Struthio camelus: one gene and its partner. The protein of the gene in region 1 interacts with the protein of each later gene in a biochemical or structural test. Links are inferred from orthologs where the notes say so. Each region holds a gene or a part of one and is shown in the gene's direction. Other genes may lie near its edges. The genes, in order: TNNI1 and TNNC1.

Evidence for each region.
Region 2: the proteins of TNNI1 (region 1) and TNNC1 are reported together in a solved structure, tested with the Homo sapiens proteins (2 studies listed by BioGRID, with this or other methods). The link is inferred for Struthio camelus from reciprocal best matches to the Homo sapiens genes TNNI1 and TNNC1.

The regions. Positions count from the first base shown.
Region 1 is NC_090965.1:3,433,896-3,443,289, forward strand, and holds the start of TNNI1 (troponin I, slow skeletal muscle), read left to right. Parts: upstream 1-5,562; 5' UTR 5,563-5,671; intron 5,672-6,030; 5' UTR 6,031-6,036; coding exon 6,037-6,162; intron 6,163-6,250; coding exon 6,251-6,340; intron 6,341-6,827; coding exon 6,828-7,004; intron 7,005-8,641; coding exon 8,642-8,749; 3' UTR 8,750-8,752; intron 8,753-9,127; 3' UTR 9,128-9,394. UniProt on the Homo sapiens protein: Troponin I is the inhibitory subunit of troponin, the thin filament regulatory complex which confers calcium-sensitivity to striated muscle actomyosin ATPase activity.
Region 2 is NC_090955.1:22,266,787-22,275,966, forward strand, and holds the start of TNNC1 (troponin C, slow skeletal and cardiac muscles), read left to right. Parts: upstream 1-4,927; 5' UTR 4,928-5,029; coding exon 5,030-5,053; intron 5,054-9,180. Other genes in the region: NISCH (nischarin), read right to left, coding at 672-752. UniProt on the Homo sapiens protein: Troponin is the central regulatory protein of striated muscle contraction. Tn consists of three components: Tn-I which is the inhibitor of actomyosin ATPase, Tn-T which contains the binding site for tropomyosin and Tn-C.

The DNA.
Region 1 (9,394 bases):
ATGGCATCCAAAGCAGCATCTGTCCTTTGGGTAGCGGGAGCTGGCTGGATCCCCTCTGGTGAGAGACAGGGAGGGCACAGCCGTGGGGAATGCAGCTTGCCTTTGTCACCAGCTAATTTTGGCTCCTCTTGTGCTCTGAAAACAATCCCAAGGCAGATGGGAGGAAAGGGGCAGCATCTGATATCAGCCAGATGCTGGAGGCATGGCCCTGCTGGGCCTTTTGCCTTATAAAGGTCTAACGGGGCTGCTATAAAGCCTCCTCCTTGTCAGCCGTGCAAGCAAGCTGGGAGGTAGATTTCCTGCACTGGCCCACATCATGGTTTTGAGCGAGAGGTGCTTGGAAATGGGGAAGGAGAAAGGCCCTTGGAGGGGGTCCCTAAGGAGGGCGGGCTCAGTGGGGTTTCTCCTGTGCTCACAGGCACTTGCTCAGTGCAGGTCAAACAAGGATGGGGCTGCCACTGTCATTGCCATTGCCTTTGCCACTATCACCGTCACTGGCTTTGAAAAAAGGATGGGGAGAAACTTGGCCCCAGGCTGCTGAGATTACACCAGCTTGGAGGCTTCTGCGTCATCAATCCCAAGGACCCAGCTGCCCTCATCGATGACCAGGCAGAGGGAAGGAGCTCAGGGCAGGCACTGGGTGGCCCAAGAAGCAAGGAGAGCGGGTGCTTGGACCAGGAGGTGGCAAGTCAGCCATGCATCCGGCGCTCTGCAGGACACAGGGGCCGTCTTTGCTCCCCACAATGGGGCTTGTGACTGCGGGTCCCTCCATGACCATAATAGTCTCAGGAATTAAAATACCAGGCATTGTTCCTGCAGGGCTGGGAATTGTTTGTGCCTAAACTTGCCCCTAAAAATATCCCAGGGAACAGGTGCTGCCTGTCCCCCCCCGCCCCAGCGGTCCTCCCCTGCTCAAAGCCTCCCTCTGTGGTGGACATGGGGGCAAGGGGCTTTACAGAGGGCAAAGTGGTGAGACAGTAGCATTTTGTCTGCTTTTCAGGGATTTTGTGGGAAAGTATCAGGGCCTGCGTTGCTGAAAGATAGCAGGGAATTGCCTGAGCTGTGCCTTGTCTCAGCCCATGATGCTGGGCTGTGCCAGTCCGGCCGGTCTTGCTCCCCAAAGAGGGGACTGCCTCATCCTCAGTCCTGACAAACCCTCCAGCCAGAATTCAACTCCCCCTGTATCTTGGCTCCATCTGCTTCCCCCCACTCTGCTTTTCCAGCACCAGTGAGGCCTTTTGGCCAGCAGTCCTGTGGGGGACATCAGTCTATTCATGTATTGTCTCTGATACAACATGTGCATCATTATGCATGGGTGTCATCACTGTGTCAGATGTCAAGCAACCTTGGATACCTCCCCCCGTCACCCTTGGGATATTTTCCGGAAAAAAAAAAAAAATCATTGCAGTGCTTTAGCTCATGACTTCTGCCTCCTTGCAGGCTCAGGGTCTTTTCGGTATCAACATATGCATGCTTGCATGGGATAAGAGCACAGCAGATGCACTGGGAAGAATCCACCTATCCTGCACGGACATTGCCTTACTGACTGGCTGGCACCATGGTCAGCCTGATGCCAGTGTGCATGCACATGCAACATGTATGTGAGCAGTGCGTCAAGCAGCAAATGCCAGCAAAGTTCGGGTAGTTCATACGCACACAGCACAAGAATTCACCAAAACACAAGAAGGCTCTTTTGGATGTGCCCAGAGCTAACGTTGCACGTGGGTGCGTAATACACGTCTGCAACATGCACTTGTCGTGCCGTGTTTGAGATAGTGCCCCAGGTGTATGCAAAGTGTCGAGGGGTGCTTGTGCTTACAGCAAGCATGTATGCAGAGTAGGGGGTATGTGCCTGGGCTATTTTTACTGACCACTTGCAGACAGGCTGCGATTTAATACTCTCCCTCCTTCGCCAAGCCCCGACAGTGTGCGGCTCTCCGGACGTCAGGCATCACCTACCCTCCCGCCCAGCCCAGAGGTAAGAAACTGCCCCAGGCCCAGAGTGTCCCTCCCGTGTGTGACTCCTGGGTCTGTTAAGGGGTGTTAGGTTAGCCCTGAGGGTGCTTTTGCAGAGCAGGTGACACAGACACTAGTGAGAGACCAACGGTATTTGCATGTCGAGGCATTGCAGAGAGATGCCCCTGGCTTATGATCTTTTTTCCTGAATTTCTTCCCCTTCCTCAGAGTAAGATAGAGACCTAGCTGTTAGGCCTGGCATAGGATCCCCTCTGAAATTTGCTGGCTGTCACCATTTTCTTCACTCTCAAAGAAAGGATTGATGAGACTGCAACGAAGGGAAATACTTTCTAAAATACTACTGTGGCATTGGAGCTGGGATTTGGTTGATTTTCCAGGCAGCTCCTAAAAAACGGTAAATAGGACTATCTTAGGGAGCAATTGCCCTTGTGTCTTGGCTGGTATCTGGCTCCTCACTATCACGCTTGTGCTTTTCCCCTGAGAGCAGGACGAGGGATATGCGATACGGGGCATCGTGGTGTGAACAATGTGTGTGGCATCGTGTTTGCATGTCCGTGGTATATCCTCAGCCACCTGGGATTGGGGCGACTGTCAGGACTGACTGCATTAGAGATTAGTTCTTTTAAAGATTTCTCTGATTTGATAGTTTCTGAAGCTTTGTAAGTTTTTCACGGCTGGGGGCATGCAAGCATAATTCAGAATAAATATGTCCAAATTCTCCTGTCCCCATCAGAGAGTTGAAGTCCCTCTCAGGTGCTCCAGACCTAGCTTGAGCCCCGAAGTCCCTGAGTAAAACCCTGCAAGGATGCAAGATTGTACAACTTGTCTTACCAGCAAAGCTGAGCCCCAGCTGCCCTCTGGGAGACCAATTTAGAAAAATCTGGCCCTAAAAGTTGATTGACATTGGCATTGGCTGTCCCAAGGTCCAGTATGGGTCCCTCTTCTAGGGACCCTTGGCGTTTCCCCCATATGGCAGAGGGAGGTGCTGAGAAGCTTTGCCCAACCCTTGCTCTCCTGTGAGAGCCAAATGCTTTTCTGCTTTGCCTGGAATAAATCAGGAGAAGGCAGCTGGGACCGAATGCCCTCAATATGCTGGCAACCGCCAAGAGGAGCTGGCTTGCCTGCATGTCTGAGCGGAATGCTGTATTACCAAAAAATCTCTAAAAAGGCATGGAATTGGCAGCTCTGGTTATATCTGATTGACAAGCTTTTTGATAAAAACACACTTCTTGGAGTTATTCAGTGCTGAGCACAGGGACCTGGCAGGCTCCAGGAAAGATGGCTTTTCCTGGGCTATTTCCCAAAATAGCATTTTTCTCCAAACTACCTACACTCCTTTATGATACAATTATGGCAAGGGAGCTGAGGAAGGGACAGGGACAAGAAGATAGAGCAGCAGACTGGGAGGTGAACTTATGTCACTGGGACTTGTTCAGTGTAGGCTCCATGCAAGCTTGAGAAGAGAACCATTTGATACTAGAATTTTTCCCTTTTTTCAGCAGAAATCTTTGGGGTTTAAAATAATTTTCAAATTCATGGGGACAAAAGAGGTCGAAACAAAAATCTTGGTCAGCTTGGCCCTTTCAATTCAGAGGAAAAGGATTAGATTCAACCCTGAAAAAAAATGCTATTTGTTTTGGAAATATTTTTTATTCCTGATTGGAAAGAGGAAAAAAGTAAACTGATTGGCATTTTCCCATGAATTTTTCTATGGTTCAGATTTATGTGGTGCCCTGACTTCTTGGCAAGAATGGGAAGTGTTAGAAGCAGCTCAGGAGGAAGTTAGCAGAGGCAGTACGTTTTAAAGCAGCTGCCAGGGAATAGGATTACCAAGTGAATGTAAAATATGAAATCACCAGGATTTCACCAGGGACACAAACCCTAAAGGAATATGCTGTGCCAATTTGCTGCAATTTGTGACCGTTGCCCCTTGGTTTATTGTCTGCCACGCTTGAGAAGTGTTTGCCTTCAACATGTTTGCAATTGCACATGAGGAGCTACAGGATGTTATTGCATCCCCTTTGGCCTCCTCTCGGACAGACTAAACCAGCCCAGCTCCTCCAGCTGATGCAGTGTGGGGAGCCTCGAGGTGCCGTGTTTCTCATTAGCTTTCTAGCCTCTCTCGCCTCCAGCCGTTTGCCTGCAGCTGGAGTGGGTGATGTAGCCAGCAGTGGTGGCAGAACAGCTCAGAAATTTGGGAAAAACCCTGAGGAGCAGGGGAGTGGTTTCCTGCTGATTGAGTGCCACAGGGCTGGCTGGAAGCAGGCTGGAGCTTGTTCGAAATATGATTTCCTTGGAGCTGTATGGTTTGTCCTTGTGTTCCACAACCAGATGGTAAAGCCAACTGCAGAGTTGCTTCCCTCCACCAACAGCACGGGGCAGCACTACACCTCGGAAGTGCTCTGTAGTCACTGCTGAGCGTGCTATGGCCCATCATCTGTGGACAGAGAAGCGGCAGGAACAGCAGGCAAGAAAGGCAGCCCCTTCTCCAGGTCCTGCCTTTCTGAATGCTTCTTTCTCTTCTGTCTCAGGCAATATCTTGCCTAGCTGCAAGAGGGGATTCATTATCCAAATAGTGCATTTAGGCCAGTTCCCAGCTGAGGAGGGTGCTGAGATGGCCAGACAACTTGGCAGAGGTGCAGTGCCATCTTGGGGAAAGTGATGCTTCTTGCTCCCACTCTGCAGCCTCTGCGTTGCCCCATCACACAGCCATTCTGCCCAATTCACTCCCACACTAGCTGCCTGCTACCCCTGTGCTCCCCATGCCCCCTGTGGCACCCAGCCCAGTTTTTGGGCTTGGACTGCTTTGGGATTTGTATCTTCATTTCAGCTTCTTTCCCTTCCTTGCAGGTAAACAGCGTGACATCACCATGCCAGAGCCGTAAGTAGCATGTGTTCCCCTTGGCTTTGGCTGAATTCCTCCCTTAGCCACAGGGCTGCTTGTGCCGACAGAGTTTGGTCCTTCTTTAGGGGGTCCGGCTTGAAGAATGGTCCATGCTCCAGACCCCTGTGATGTTCCCTTTGTAAAAAATGTCTTTCTTCAAATAAAAACTGTTAGTCATTTGAATGTCCTGGTTCAAACCTTGGAGCTTGCCTAGATCAGAGACCCTGATATAGCCATCCCCAAGTGGGCAATGACACTCTTTTTGCTGTGAGGCTCTTCTTTATAGTATGTTGTGTAATATAGCATATTCCCAGCTGTGAACAGCAGGAAAAAAACACCCTGCAAAGCTTTCATCAAGCAATGGCATGGAGATGTCCAAGCCCTGCAAGAGGGCATAAAGACAGCTTGTGTGCAGTGTTTGAGTGTCATTTTGACTTTCTAAAATGCAGCGCTCAACTTCTGCTGCTTTTCAGGAGAGCACCTTCATCTCAGCCTGGCAGCAGACCTGGCTCACTTACAGGTTGCAACTATTGTATAGTGAAATAGGGAAACCAATTGTAATAATATAAAATACTTTTCTTGACATTTACTCTCTTGATTTCTATCCGCTTATGCCCTATTCTGTTTTTGTCTTCCTTTTTGCTCGTTCCTGAATGAATGCCTCCCTGCAGGGAGGTAAGTGCCTTGCCTTTCCTGAGTGATCTAGATATTTCTCTGCATTTGCTGCGAGTTTATTTTCAAAGATTCTTTTTGTCCCCTTTTCCCTAGAGAAAGCCCAAGATCACAGCCTCACGCAAACTGTTGTTGAAGGTGAGTCCTAAGGGCTGGAAACTCCCTAAGATTTGTTGTGGCTGAGGGAAATCATTTAATGCAACAACAGAGCAAACCAATGCAAAGAAAGTGTTCACGTCAGCATCCATCAGGAACACCACCACCACAGTGATATCTCTCGCCCTGTTTCACCTGCCTTCAGTGTCACCACATAAAGGGTGTAGGGATTTTTTGATGTGTGTTGCAGCATTGCAGTGATTTTTGGAGGATTACCACAGCAAGGGGGGGTTTGGAAGGAGTTGGGACTCTCTCCCATCCTACAGACCTTGCGTGGGGAGGCTCAGCAGCTAACTGAAGACCCTGTCTAGTCAAGCCTCTACTTTTTGCTTGTTCCCTAGAGCTTGATGCTGGCAAAAGCGAAGGAGGAATGGGAACAGGAGCTCATTGACAAACAGTCAGAGAAGGAAAGATATCTGTCTGAGCGGATCACACCATTGTATACCAGTGGGCTTTCCTTGAGCCAGCTCCAGGTATTTCTCTGATCAGAGGATGAAGTGAACTCCTTGGAAGCAGCAAGGACCATCACTTACTGCTCTCCTGCTGTGCTTGACCCCCCAGGACCTGTGCAGGGAGCTGCATGCGAAAGCTGAAATTGTGGATGAAGAGCGATATGACATCGAAGCAAAATGCAACCATAACACCCGGGAGGTAGGAGCAGGAGGGGCTATTTGTGTCTATGTTAATTCCCTCCTCAGTGGTGACTTGGGCCTTGACAGGGGTCTTTCATAGATTGGACTGAGCTTGGATGTGGGACGTGTACCAGGCTTAACTCAGGGTTGGTATTTGCTCTACAAGAGCAGACAATCGCTCAGCACAGGATTCATCCCTGCCTCAGAGAGTTCAGTGTCACCTGGGTCCACAAGCAACCTCCTTGCTCTCCTGGTCATCCCCTGAGGGGCTGAGAGGTCTTTTATGTAGCATGGCTACAATCCAAGTGGGCTGGGACAAGGCCATCACTACAGGTCTGGGCTCAGGTGCACAACCCCTTAGTTGGAGGTGGTCCTACTCACTGTGGGAGGGGCTGGGACCCCTCTGAGGCTAGGAGCAGACAGAGATTCCTGCCTCACATAGGGGCATTTTGTGCAATGCAGTCATACAATGACTTCCCCTTCCATCTTGTTTCCTCAACTTGCAGATTAAAGACCTGAAACTGAAAGTGCTTGACCTCCGGGGAAAGTTCAAGCGACCCCCCCTGCGGCGAGTCCGGGTCTCTGCTGATGCTATGCTGAGGGCTCTGCTGGGCTCCAAGCACAAGGTTTCCATGGATCTGAGAGCCAACCTGAAGTCTGTCAAGAAGGAGGATACGGAGAAGGTGGGTGTCTCTTTCAGAGGTCAGAGGTGGAGAGACCTCCTAGGGCTGCACCTGTCTTTCTGCAATGTCCCTGTGAAGCCTGCATGGGTTACGCTCAACCCTTGTAAGCCCTGCGCCTCAGAAATAGCAAGGGGTGTAGTCCTTGTGAGGCATTGCCCATCGCAGGACGTTGTAGGACCACAAGGGAGCTGTTTGACTAGGTCAGGTAACTGGTGGATGATAACAGGTGAGATTCAGGGCTTTGTCCATGATGATCTTCCCTCCCAGAGCTTGGGGGTACTTTCAGCTGGGGTAAAGTGGCACAGACCCCTTAACATGCTTGTCAAGCTGCACTCTATGAGAGTTTGGTCTTCTGTCTTCCTGGGAACAAGGAGAGCTCCTGTTCAATACAATCACACCCAGAAAATACTCAGGAAACTCCTAGGCACAGATTAGATAAAACAATGCAAGCCCAGCAAGCACACCTAGCCTGAGACAAACAGCACAGTTCACGCTGACTTTGCAGAGATGGGAGAGGGGAAAGTCTCTCTCCATACCAGAGACATAGTGCAATGCCCAAGCCTGCTCACGGTGGGCAGGCAGGCGTAGAGGCAGGTGGCATGCCCCTTCGAGGGTTCAGGACCGTGAGGACGCAGGCAGTGTCAGCCGCTCCTCCTGCACCAGATCTGCCTGCAAGGTTTTACTCTTCTTTCAGACCAGAAATTACAGTTTGAAAAAGCCCAGGCAGGAACACTCCAACTGCAAGAGCACTGTCAAGGGGAAGAAGTCCCAATACTGGATTTTGGCATTCTTGTTGTGATTCATAGTTTTAGTTCCATCATGTGTTAAATAGCAATAAGATACAGCGCCTGTGATACAGACAATGTCAGACACAGTGCGTGATGTTGCTTTTCAGATTAAGCCATCCTGCCAGTGTCACAGGAGACCGCTTTGACATCCCCAAAGAGAATGTGGGGAATTTTGTTCTATGCTGCATTCAGGAATTGCAATTTCTTGCTCTGATGTCAAACAGCAGCAGGTTATGAGATGTCAAGATTCCCTCCAGAAGAGTTCTGCTGCTTTCTCAGTGCCTGTCCTCACTGTGCACCATGTTTTAACCCCAGGTTCCAGCTCAGTAGATTGGATGACAGTAGATTGGATGTCATTTTTCAATTTTGTTTTTCACTGTTGCTAATAGGGCATGTTTTTTAATCCATTGAATTGAAAAAAATTGTGTTTACAAGCCTCAGTGCCAGGTATTGAATAGATCTGAGTTTATTTTAGATCTCATGAGATAATTTGGGGGCATGGCTTGTAATATGTGAACACTTGTGGGATGGCAAAGCAGACACCTGGGCATACTCTCAGAGCCACTGTCGCCTACCCTTTCTGTTCTAGAAGTGGCCTCCCAGGTCTCGTTGCAATCCCAGTTCTCTTCAAGAGCTGAGAGAAGGTGGAGATGGGGTTTATGTGGCTGAGACCTCTCTGCAGAAAGTGTATTTGCTTGCATTTGCCTCAGTATGCAGTCTGAAATAATTTCCACGTGCATGCCTTCCCTGTGCTGCCTTCACGCTGGGGCATGTGAGTGGGAAAGCATAGGGCTGCCAGGTGGTCCATCACAGAGCCATTGCAGCCCCCGGCCCCGTCTCACCCTGCAGGAGCGCCCTGTGGAAGTGGGTGACTGGCGCAAGAACGTGGAAGCCATGTCCGGTATGGAGGGCCGAAAGAAGATGTTCGATGCTGCCAAGTCCCCCACAGGCCAGTGAGAGGTATGGCAACTAGTCTGCCTTCCCCTGCCATGCCCCGCGCTCCTTGTAACATCCCTGAGCAGTGCTTGTAGCTGGGTGAATGCAGAAAAGGCATCCACTCCTTTCCTTGGGCTTTTCACATCTGGCTTCCTGGCCTGTCTCTCTCCCAGCACATGGGACAGGGCCCCAGGCCCACATGTCTCCAACATGGAGCCCCTGTCCACAGCTATCCCCTTGCTCAGCTTATCTCCCTGGCTTTCTGGGGCCTGTGCAGCCACACTACAGTTATCCTGCACAGCACACCCATTGCTGGCATCAGCTTTGGGCCTGCAGCATGGCTGCTTCAAGACAAACTCTTCTTTTGCCCCATTACTCTGCTCTGTTTCTTTCCTGCAGGAGCGTCAGGCCAGGAAGAAGAGCCTCCCCAATCCTGCTGTCTGCCTCCCTTGTCCTTGCTGCCCCTCCTTGCTCTTTATGCTCATACCCTGAATTCACCACTGAGCTGAAGCGTGTGGACAACTACTTGGGAAGGAGATCTGAGCCTCTTCCTTTCCGTCAACCCTGGCCTGCAGCTGTGTGCAGGCCTTACCTTACTCGTGCAATCGACCCTGCTCCAGGGTGGCCCCTGCATAATGACTCTCAGGTGCCACAGGTGTCACCAGC
Region 2 (9,180 bases), on another chromosome or scaffold:
ATGTGCATTCTCCAAAAAAAGATCATTCAAATCACAGTAGACTAAGGTAGGGGTAGAAAAAAAATTTAGTTATATAACAGGGCGGTGTTCTTGAGAGGTTTTCTGTGTGCAATTACACTGAGGCCTGTTATTGTGATGAGCTTCTTCCTAAAAAACCAGAACGATTAAGTCTGGGTACACTGAAACTAGTTTAAAAAAAAAGAAAAAAAAAAGAAGTTATAAATCAAAAAGTTAAACTCCTTCCCCAAAAGAAATGCTGCTGACGACCTTTCCTTTTTTTTTGTGGGGTAAAAGAAAAAAAAATTGGCTACGTGCAATACCATCCCGAAATCGTCTGATTTTCTCTGAACAGAAAACGAACCTTTTCAGGAGGGATTCTGAAGTATTTTCACCTTAACAAGATACTAGACACTATACTCGGGCCGGTTTTAAAAGCTACCCTTTCTCGACGGCAGCTTCTCAGGTCATACACGTACACACGCGCGTAGACGTGCGCCCACGAGCACGACAAGCTCCGCACATTCAGGCTCCGCTGAAACACTAGCCTGGCAGGAGGGCAGCAGCGCCAGCGCCGCGCCCCGGGCCGCGCCGGCCTCCCCCCGCCGCCCCCCGCGCCGGGCCGGGCCGGGCCGGGCCTGCCGCCTCCCGCCCTGCCGCGACGGCCCCCTCACCGTGTAGGTCTCCACCAGCTCGGAGCCCAGCACCCGCGCCCCCCGAGGGGGCTCCTCGCCCTCCTCCGCCGCCGCGTCCATGGCGCCGCGAGGAGCGCGGAGGACCGGGCGCCGCCGCGCTCACGCCGCCGCCGCCGCTGCTCCCCCCCGGCCGCCGCCGCCGCCGCCGCCCGCACCGGCCCCAGCCTCGGCCCGCTCGCCCGCCGCCGCCATCTTGACCCCCCCCGCCTCCCTCCACACACACCCCGAAGGGCGCGGCCCGGCCCCTCGCCGCATTTTTATTGGCCGCCGCAGGCAGGGGCGGGGCTTGAGGGCCTCCGCGTCAGCCGCGGGGGGGGGAGGGCGGAACGAGGCTCACGGGGAATGCGCATGCGTGCTGAGCCCTCCGCGGGGGAGGCTGGTGCTGCGCGCTGCAACGCAGTGCAGTGCTGGGCTGGGCTGTGCAATGCGGTGCTGTGCAGTGCAATGCAGTGTAGTGCTGGACTGGGCTGTGCAGTGTTGTGCAATGCACTGCAATACAATACAGTGCTGGGCAGGCCTGCACAATGCGGTGCAATGCCTTGCAACGCAATGCAGTGTTCTACTGGGCCCTGCAATGCCCTGCAACACAATGCTGGGCTGGGCTGGGCTGGGCTGTGCAATGCACTGCAATGCAATACAATACAGGGCTGGGCTGGGCTGCTGGGCCGTGTAGCGCTGTGCAATGCAATGCAGTGCTGTGCTGGACTGTGCAATGCAATGCAGTGCAGTGCTGGGCTGTGCAATGCCTTGCAACACAATGCAGCGCTGGGCTGGACTGTGTGGTGCTCTGCAATGCTATGCTGTGCAGCACTAGGCTGTGCAATGCAATGCTGTGCTGTGCGAGGCAGAGCAACGCTATGCAATGCAATGTTAGGCTGTGCAGCGCAATGCAATGCAGCGCAGGGAGTTCAGGCTGACCAAGCTGGCTGAATGCAGCTAGGGAGTGCAGTGTGCAATGCGCACGTTGCAAATGACGCCCTTGGAAATGCAGGCAGCTGCAGTCCAGGCCAGGGCAGGCACTAGCACAGGGCATGTGAGATTGAATTGCAGAGGGCAAGGCCACTCCTTGTCTGAAGAGTATTGAGCTCCCTGGTAGTGCTGTGGCTGTACTGTCACAGGCACTCACACCTGCATCTGGAAGCAGTGACGGCAGAGGTCCAAAGCAGTGACTCACCCCAGCTGTACACAGCTCCCAGTAGCTCTCTGTGGTCCCACCACGTGGCTGACTGGCTGGAGCAATGCGGCACTGGGCAGAGGTGCCACTGCAGTGATTCTGTGACAAACGCCTGCTGCCACCTCAGAAACTGAGCTGAGAGCTGGCGTGATGGGCCGGACTTCTACACGGAGGAGAGACACAGCCTAGGTGCGCAGGCAGGAGCACAAGCATGGAAAATGCTTTTCCGAGGAGCTTTTTTTGTTTGTAAGCTTTTCTTGCAAAGGACTGCCAGTGCTCGAGGAGCGCGTTTCGGGTGGGCGTAGTTCAGAGCAACTTTACTGAGGCGATGAGCTGGAATTTGCAATAGGAGTAGATAATCCCAAAGGATGGCAAGCAAATCCTTGTCTGTCTTTTCCCCGTGAAGTGGCATCGCCCTGAGGTGAAGTCGCAGGAGATGCAAACGCACCCTCTCGCTAAAGCCAGACGGTGCCGTCTCTTCTGGCCACGCTCGCGCTAGCGGATCTAAGCAAGGGTGCACCCAGCGTCGATTCATTGCAAAGAGTAATTTAGGCATTAGCTGTTCTGGCACTTGAGGGTTTGCAAGTGCGCGGGACAGAAAGTGCCCGCGCTCAGCAGGCAGCAGGAGGGCAGCGGCGGCGCCGGCGGGCGGGAGGCAGCTCCGGCGTCCGGCGGATGCACCGCAAAACGCTCTCCCTTGGATCAGGACTCATCAGGCGGACGCGTACGGCAACACGTACGGCCAAGGCAGTCCAAGAGGGATTTTTCTAGCACTGCCGCAACGTCGGCAGGGGCTGCTGCTGAACGCAGCGTCCCGATGCGATAACGAGCAGTTTTACCGAGCCAGTTTAATTAAGCTTCCTCTGAAGGCTCCATATCCTTAATTAAAGACCCATTTGCACTGCCGGTCCCCTTCCCTTCCGCCGCGCGGGGGCGGCGAGGCGGCAGCCCCGGCCTGTCTGCCGTGAAGGAGACATTTCGCGGCAGCTCGGTGACTCGGGGGCACCCTCAGCGCCGGCCAGCCCAGACCCAACCCCAGGAGGATTTAGCTGGCAGTAAAAGTCACAGATTTGGGTTTTTTTTTTTTTTTTTTCCCCTCCTCTCGTCTGCCAGCTTGCACCCCTTGAAAGGGGCTCGGTTTAGCTCTGGACGCTTCGCGCCAGGTGACCCGTCAGCCTGTCACGGCTGAAGGCGGAATAAACCGCGGCGCTTACAGAGCTTCGAGGTCAGCGGGGCCGGCGCCGCTCAGCCTCTTAGGGCGGCTCTGAGCCGCGCCGGTCTGCCCCGGGGGGCCCGCAAATCCTCCCCTGCGCCTCAACGAAACCCGGGGCGGGGGCGCTGCCGAAACCCCGTCGCAGGGGCACGCGGGGCGGCAGGGGCCGGCGGCGGCTCTCTCAGCGCGAGCCGCTCTCCTTCCCCGCCGGCGGGCCTGGCGGAGGCCGGCGGCCGCCCCGGGGCAGCGCGCGGGCCGGCGAGCGGCCGCCCGCCTCTGCCGGCCGACAGGGAGCCCTTGGCGCGGCCGGGCCGCCTCGGGGTGGCGGGAGGCCGCGGGGCCCGGAGCGGAGGCGATCTGCTGCGAGGGCAGAGGTGGAGGCCGCCTCCGGCCAGCGCCTCGGCCCCTCGCTCACACCGCCGCCGCGCGTCCCTGATTCACCCGCTTGGGCTGGGACAGCGCTTTTCCGGCGCGCCGCCAGTATTTTGGTTAACGGGAGGAGTGGTTTTTTTTTTTTTTTTTTGTTAGAAGAGCCCGAAACCTAACTAGCTGCCTTCACAGCGCCGTCGGTTTTCTCAAGTTGAAAAACGCGGCTTGAAAAGTCTTTGCTGTTGAAACCTTCCCCCACATTTTTCTGGTTGAAATGTAAGATTTTTTCAGCAGAAAGTTTAAAACGAAAAAAAATCTGCAAATAATAAATAGCTGCGGCTAGTTCAAGCGTTCACAGGAGTACCTACAAAAAGGCAAAGCAACCCCCCCCCCCCACAGACCCACTGTCTTTGTGACAGAGCAACACCCTTCTGTCCCCCGAGCAACAGGGACGCCGGCCGCGGCGGCGGGCAGAGCCCCCCTCCCAGCTCCATCCTGCCGGCCCCGGCCCGGGGGAGGAAGCCAGAAGCGCTTGCCGGCGCCGGCCGTGAGGCGCTTGCGCCCTGCCGCGGGCATCAGCTTGGCTGGCGAGACGGAGCAGCCATCGGTAGCTCCTTTGGACGCAAGAGGGAGCCTCGAGTCACGGGGCAGAGAGCGAGAGAGAGATATCTTTTTGCTTTGGTCCTCGCGGGTTAAAACACTTCTCCCGTCAGGGAGCGACGGCTGCCCGCCCGCAGGGCCCCGGCGCCTGGCTCTAGAGTCACGCCATGGGGCTTCTCCCTTCGTGGTGGGGCTGGCCACCAAAGGCCAGCGGCCGGCCGGCCCCCGCTCCGCTTGCCCGGCCGCTGGAGGGGACCGGCAGTAAGCGCAGAAAAAACGTCGGTACCCACGCGGCCCAGTCCGCCTACGCGTCCCCGCGTGAGGACGACGCGTTTCCCCTGGCCTCAGCGCCTGGACGCGCAGGGTAGGGCTCCAGCACCCCTGACGCGGGGGGCGAGCCCCGCCGGCGCACCCCAGAGCAGCCCGGGCGCGGGCGGGGGCCGGGGGGCAGCCCGCGGAGAGGCCGGGCACCAGACAGACCCCCCCCGCGCTTCCTTCGGGGTTTCCTTCCAAGCCCCAGGGAAATTTGGCTGGGGCGGGGGGGGGTCCGGGGTGCTCCGTCGGCGCGTTGCCCGGTTTAACTGAGCGCAGGGTACGCTTTCTGACCCAGCTTCCAGGGGGAAGAAGGGGGCTTTGCACCGGAGCCAGAGGTGACGCGCAGCCAAACGCTGCAACGCAGCGGCGCCGGGGTCTGCGGGGAGCCCAGCGGCAAGGGCTCAGCCTTCCCCCCCCTCCCCGTCAAAGTCAGGCGGAAACCCCCGGCCGCCCCAAGGGAGGGCTCGGGCAGGCCGGCAGCGCGCCCTCCCCGAGGCACGCGGGCGGGCAGCGCCCGGGGGGCCGGGAGCGCGCGGGGCGGGCGGCTGGCCACGTCCCCCGGCCCCGCGGGGCGGGCGGCCGGCCGGCCGCTATATCAGCGGGGCCGCGGGGGCAGAGGGGCCAGAGCGTGCCGCCCGCCCGGCTCCGCGCCCGCGCTCCCCCACCATGGATGACATCTACAAGGCAGCGGTAAGCGATGCCTTCGCTAGGGCTTGTGTTTCGGGGAGGGGGGGATTTTGGGCAGTTTTTACGGACCTTGTTGCTGATGCCCCGAAGCCGGCGCGCTGGTTCCCATGCCGTCAGAGTTAACGCGACGGAGAAAGGCGCACAAGAAGTTATTACAGGGTGGCGCCTTTCAGACAACATTTTCCTCCAGCACGCAGACTTTTAGCGCTGACAGTTGTGACGCTTTTCACGCTCCTCTTGTAAGCGTGAAGGTCTCGACCGTGCTGCTAAATGGTTTGCAGTCTCGGCCCTGGCTCCCTGCTCTGAGACAGCGACACGGTCCCTAAGTGCAGTTAAAAAAATCTCAGCAAAACCTTGGAGGGCAAGGGGGTGGCTGCTGGTCTTAGCCAGCGCAGAGCACAGCAGCACTTCCCATGGCACGAAGACCATTCGCGGGGGTTAAAATTCACCGTCCTGCTTCTGGTGCTTTAACATTTCGCCATTGCTAAGTTTTCCCCTTCCATAACTGAATGTTTTTTTGGTGGGATTTAAAAAGCTCTCAGCTTGTGTAAGGCATTTCCAAGCCTCCGCATCTGCTTCACCACTCCCAGCCCCTGCTATCTGCGGTACAGGAATTACGAATGTAAGATATGCTCTCTGAGAACGCAGAGGCACCCTAAGCGCTATTTTAAATTATACGGCTGTGTGTTATTCTTACTGGGCAAGTTCAAACTATTTGGTCTCTAATAAAGACACTTAAACAGACCGTGATATGCGGGTGGAATAAGGATGAAAATAGATTCTGAATTATAGGAATTGCTACTCTGTCCCGTGCATAACTGGAGTTGAAATACATTATAAGGGTTTCCTGGTGACTTTTTTTTTTTTTTATATATAGTTGATCAGCCTTGATTTTTAACTAAGGGCACAAAAAATACATCGTACAAGTGCTATTTTAATTCCAAGATCTTTTAGAGGGAAGGAAGAGCTTGCTTGAAATGTAACTGAAGAGAACAACAAAATGCTCACACAATTAGCTCTCCTGTCCTCTTGGTCTAACCTAGAACCTTGTGAGATTGAAAACCCAAAATGATTTGGATGTTTTCAGCGAAAAAAGAATCAGGAAAGGCTGTGCAGTTAGGAGTAGAGTTCCCCTAACAACCACTGCAGAAAAGGAAGAAAATATGACCTATAAAATTCAAGAAAATCCAGGCCTCTATAACTAATCTTTTTAATTAAACATATTCTCTGCGACTCAAGGAACGGGTCCTTTCCATATTGTTTAGGCACCTCATGCACATAGCTGGGAAGAAAGGCTGAAGAGCTTTGCAAGCCAGCAATGCTAACAATTAGCCAAATGGGTCTGTCCGTCAGCCGGAGGAATGCACTGTCCAGCGCAGGCTGCGTCGCAGCCTCCCGGCCCCAAAAGAAAGGTTTCCCCGCACAGACGCTCCAGCCTCTCTCCATATCTCTGGCCCATAAATGGGATACATATGGGCAAAGCTCCACGGGCCAAGGTCACTCCTAGTCAAAGTCTGTGGACTTCGGTGGAGTTAGACTTCGGAGGAATTTAGCCAAAAAAAGGAGCTCCAGCGTAAGAGCAACCAAAAACTTCCTGCCTCAGTTAGTTACCAAAAGCTTATCCCAAACACCTAGTCCTTAAACACAGAAATGAGCTGTGCAAAATACCTGATTGAGTCCCATAAGGATTTTGCTGCCCGTCTGAAGGCCAGGGCACCCAGGCAGACACCCTGCTGTTGTGAACCGTGACAACGCTACAACAGGTAAACGTGCAGCTCAAGTCCTGGGCTTTGGCGGCTGGCACCTGTACAGGGGCGAAACAACTCCAGCCCCGGTATGGCTGAGTTCTTGAATCTGTCCCCCAAGGCTTTAATTGTAAGAAGACATTCAGCTGGAAAAAATTTCAAGACCTTAAACTTTCCCCACCTAACTTCAAATGGAAACAAGAAATGAAGAACAAAGCTGGAAAAAAGCAAAGTAGAAACTATGACAGAGTTAGCATTATCACAGACATCCCAGTGCTGCGGGCTCAGTGCTTGCTTTCCAGTACCACAACAGGGAAAACCTCTCCCTGAAACACGATGCGGAGGGAAAAGAGGAATAAAGCAGAGCATCTATGTCCAGTGGACACTGTGAACTACTCAACTGAAATCCCTCTGCAATGCATGTATCTCTCTATAGCTACCTTGCATTTAAAATTTACGTACAGTTTAGTCCCACGCCTGTAATTCTCCAGATATCCAAAATGCCCTAGTCAAGCTTTGGAAGGGAGTATTTCATTTTCTGCTTGTTGAGGACATTTATTAATAACCGTTGTAGAATTGAATGAGTTTGTGCCAAATTCGCTCCATGCGGCCACAGAATCCAATGGATTTTCATCTTGCCTATTCATGTCTAGATAAGGCTATAGAAACACAAAGCTATTCTGGGAACCTTTTAAAGCTCTGTTAAGCAGCACTAAGAACAGTGCCAGGGACAAGTGTCCAGATAAAGGGCTGCAAGAATAAATAACAAAGCCTTTCTACTCCCGGGAACAATCAGAAAGCTCATCTTTATCTTCAGCACCTCTCTCACCAGGGTTTATAAATAGTGAATGCACCAAAAGGGTCGAGTTACACGAGTGGCATGACGGTGGCCGCAGACATTCGCTTGGGGAGCGCTGCGCCTGCCGTGGGGCTCCCAGCTCTCCTCCTTTCCCGTCTGCACAATAGCCCTGACGGCCAGCAGCTGCCTGCCTGCCTTCAGGGGCGGCTGGGCCAGGACCGGCTCGGGTTGCACCGTGCAATGCTGAAGAGCAATCCTGCTGCTATTGTTATCTCTTTCTGACCTGAAAGGACTCACCTCCTATAGTCCGTATCTTCACAAGCGCGTGGAGCTGAGCTGTAGCCAAGCAGGCTCTGGACGAGGCGCCCTGCTCGCTTCGCCCTACAAGTGCTTGTCCTCTGTCCTGCTGAGCAAATGCCCTTTCCCTACCTCTTGCTGCAGGCAGGCAGGGTGGCTTTCCAGCTGCCTTTTACAAAGCAATTACCCTTTGGGGCAAGAACATCAGCCTCCACGCAGAGAGGAGGTGCTGCAACTTGGTGTTGGGGGTTTTTGATAAAGCTGTGTCAGGGCCCGACCAAAACACACAGGGGGATAGTTGTCTGGGTATGGTTCACAATGGACATGGAGATCAGGGGAGCAGCAGGTAAGGACTGTAGCCGATAGCTATAGTAAGGAGGAAGCTAACAGGGTCCCTGCAGATACTCACTGCACAGGACAGAGATATCAGATGATTTGAGAGAGGGGCCAGAGACAGAGCCCTCTAAGCTAAATCACATAGGAGCCACCTGGCACAGGGGTAGCATCTGGCCAACTGCAGAGGGTCTCGTTGGCCAGCTTGGGAGGGAAGAAGGCAATGTTTTAATGGATGTTGCTGAAGGGACAGTTGGATACGATGGTGAAGTCAGTAATGTTAGATAAGCAGTACTTCTAGGAAGGAACGAAGCCAAAGAGAAACACTTAAAGAGAAGAAGCAGAGTGTAGGTCCCATGGATTCTTCTTCGCTCTTCTCATTGATTATTTTCATTAATTCGTGTTAACTAATAAGCTCCCACTGATCACTTGCAGGGAATAAAACGGGGTAGGATGTGGAAACTATCTGCCCACTCATTTCAGCTAACGCTTCTGCTCTACAGCCGGCTCTGCGTGCGCATGTGGCAGGCTTTCCAGGGAAGTCGCATCTGGCTGTAGAGCAGGACAAGGAGCGCGCAAACACAGAGCCCAGGTCAGGGCCACGCAGAGTTTGGATCCAGCCAGACCCATGGAGCCAGTGATTCCCTGGGGAAGAGGTGCCAATATGGGCACAGCCCCCCCTGCACTGGGGCGGGCACTGCTGGGGTACCCGCTGCTGCACTCAGGGCACAGAGCCAGCTCTGCCAGGCATTTGTTGGAGATGGTGGCACGCTTTTTCCATCAGACTGTGAAAACAGAGCTTCCTTGCTTTCTCCTCTTCTAGCTCTTCTCATCTACCTAGTTTTATCTCCATTTTCCAGCACAATGGTGCAGGGAAATGCCTTTTGCCCATCATGGGTATTTCTTGTTGCAATGCAGCGATAGGTATCTCCGTGGCGCGTTCCCATTTCACCCCA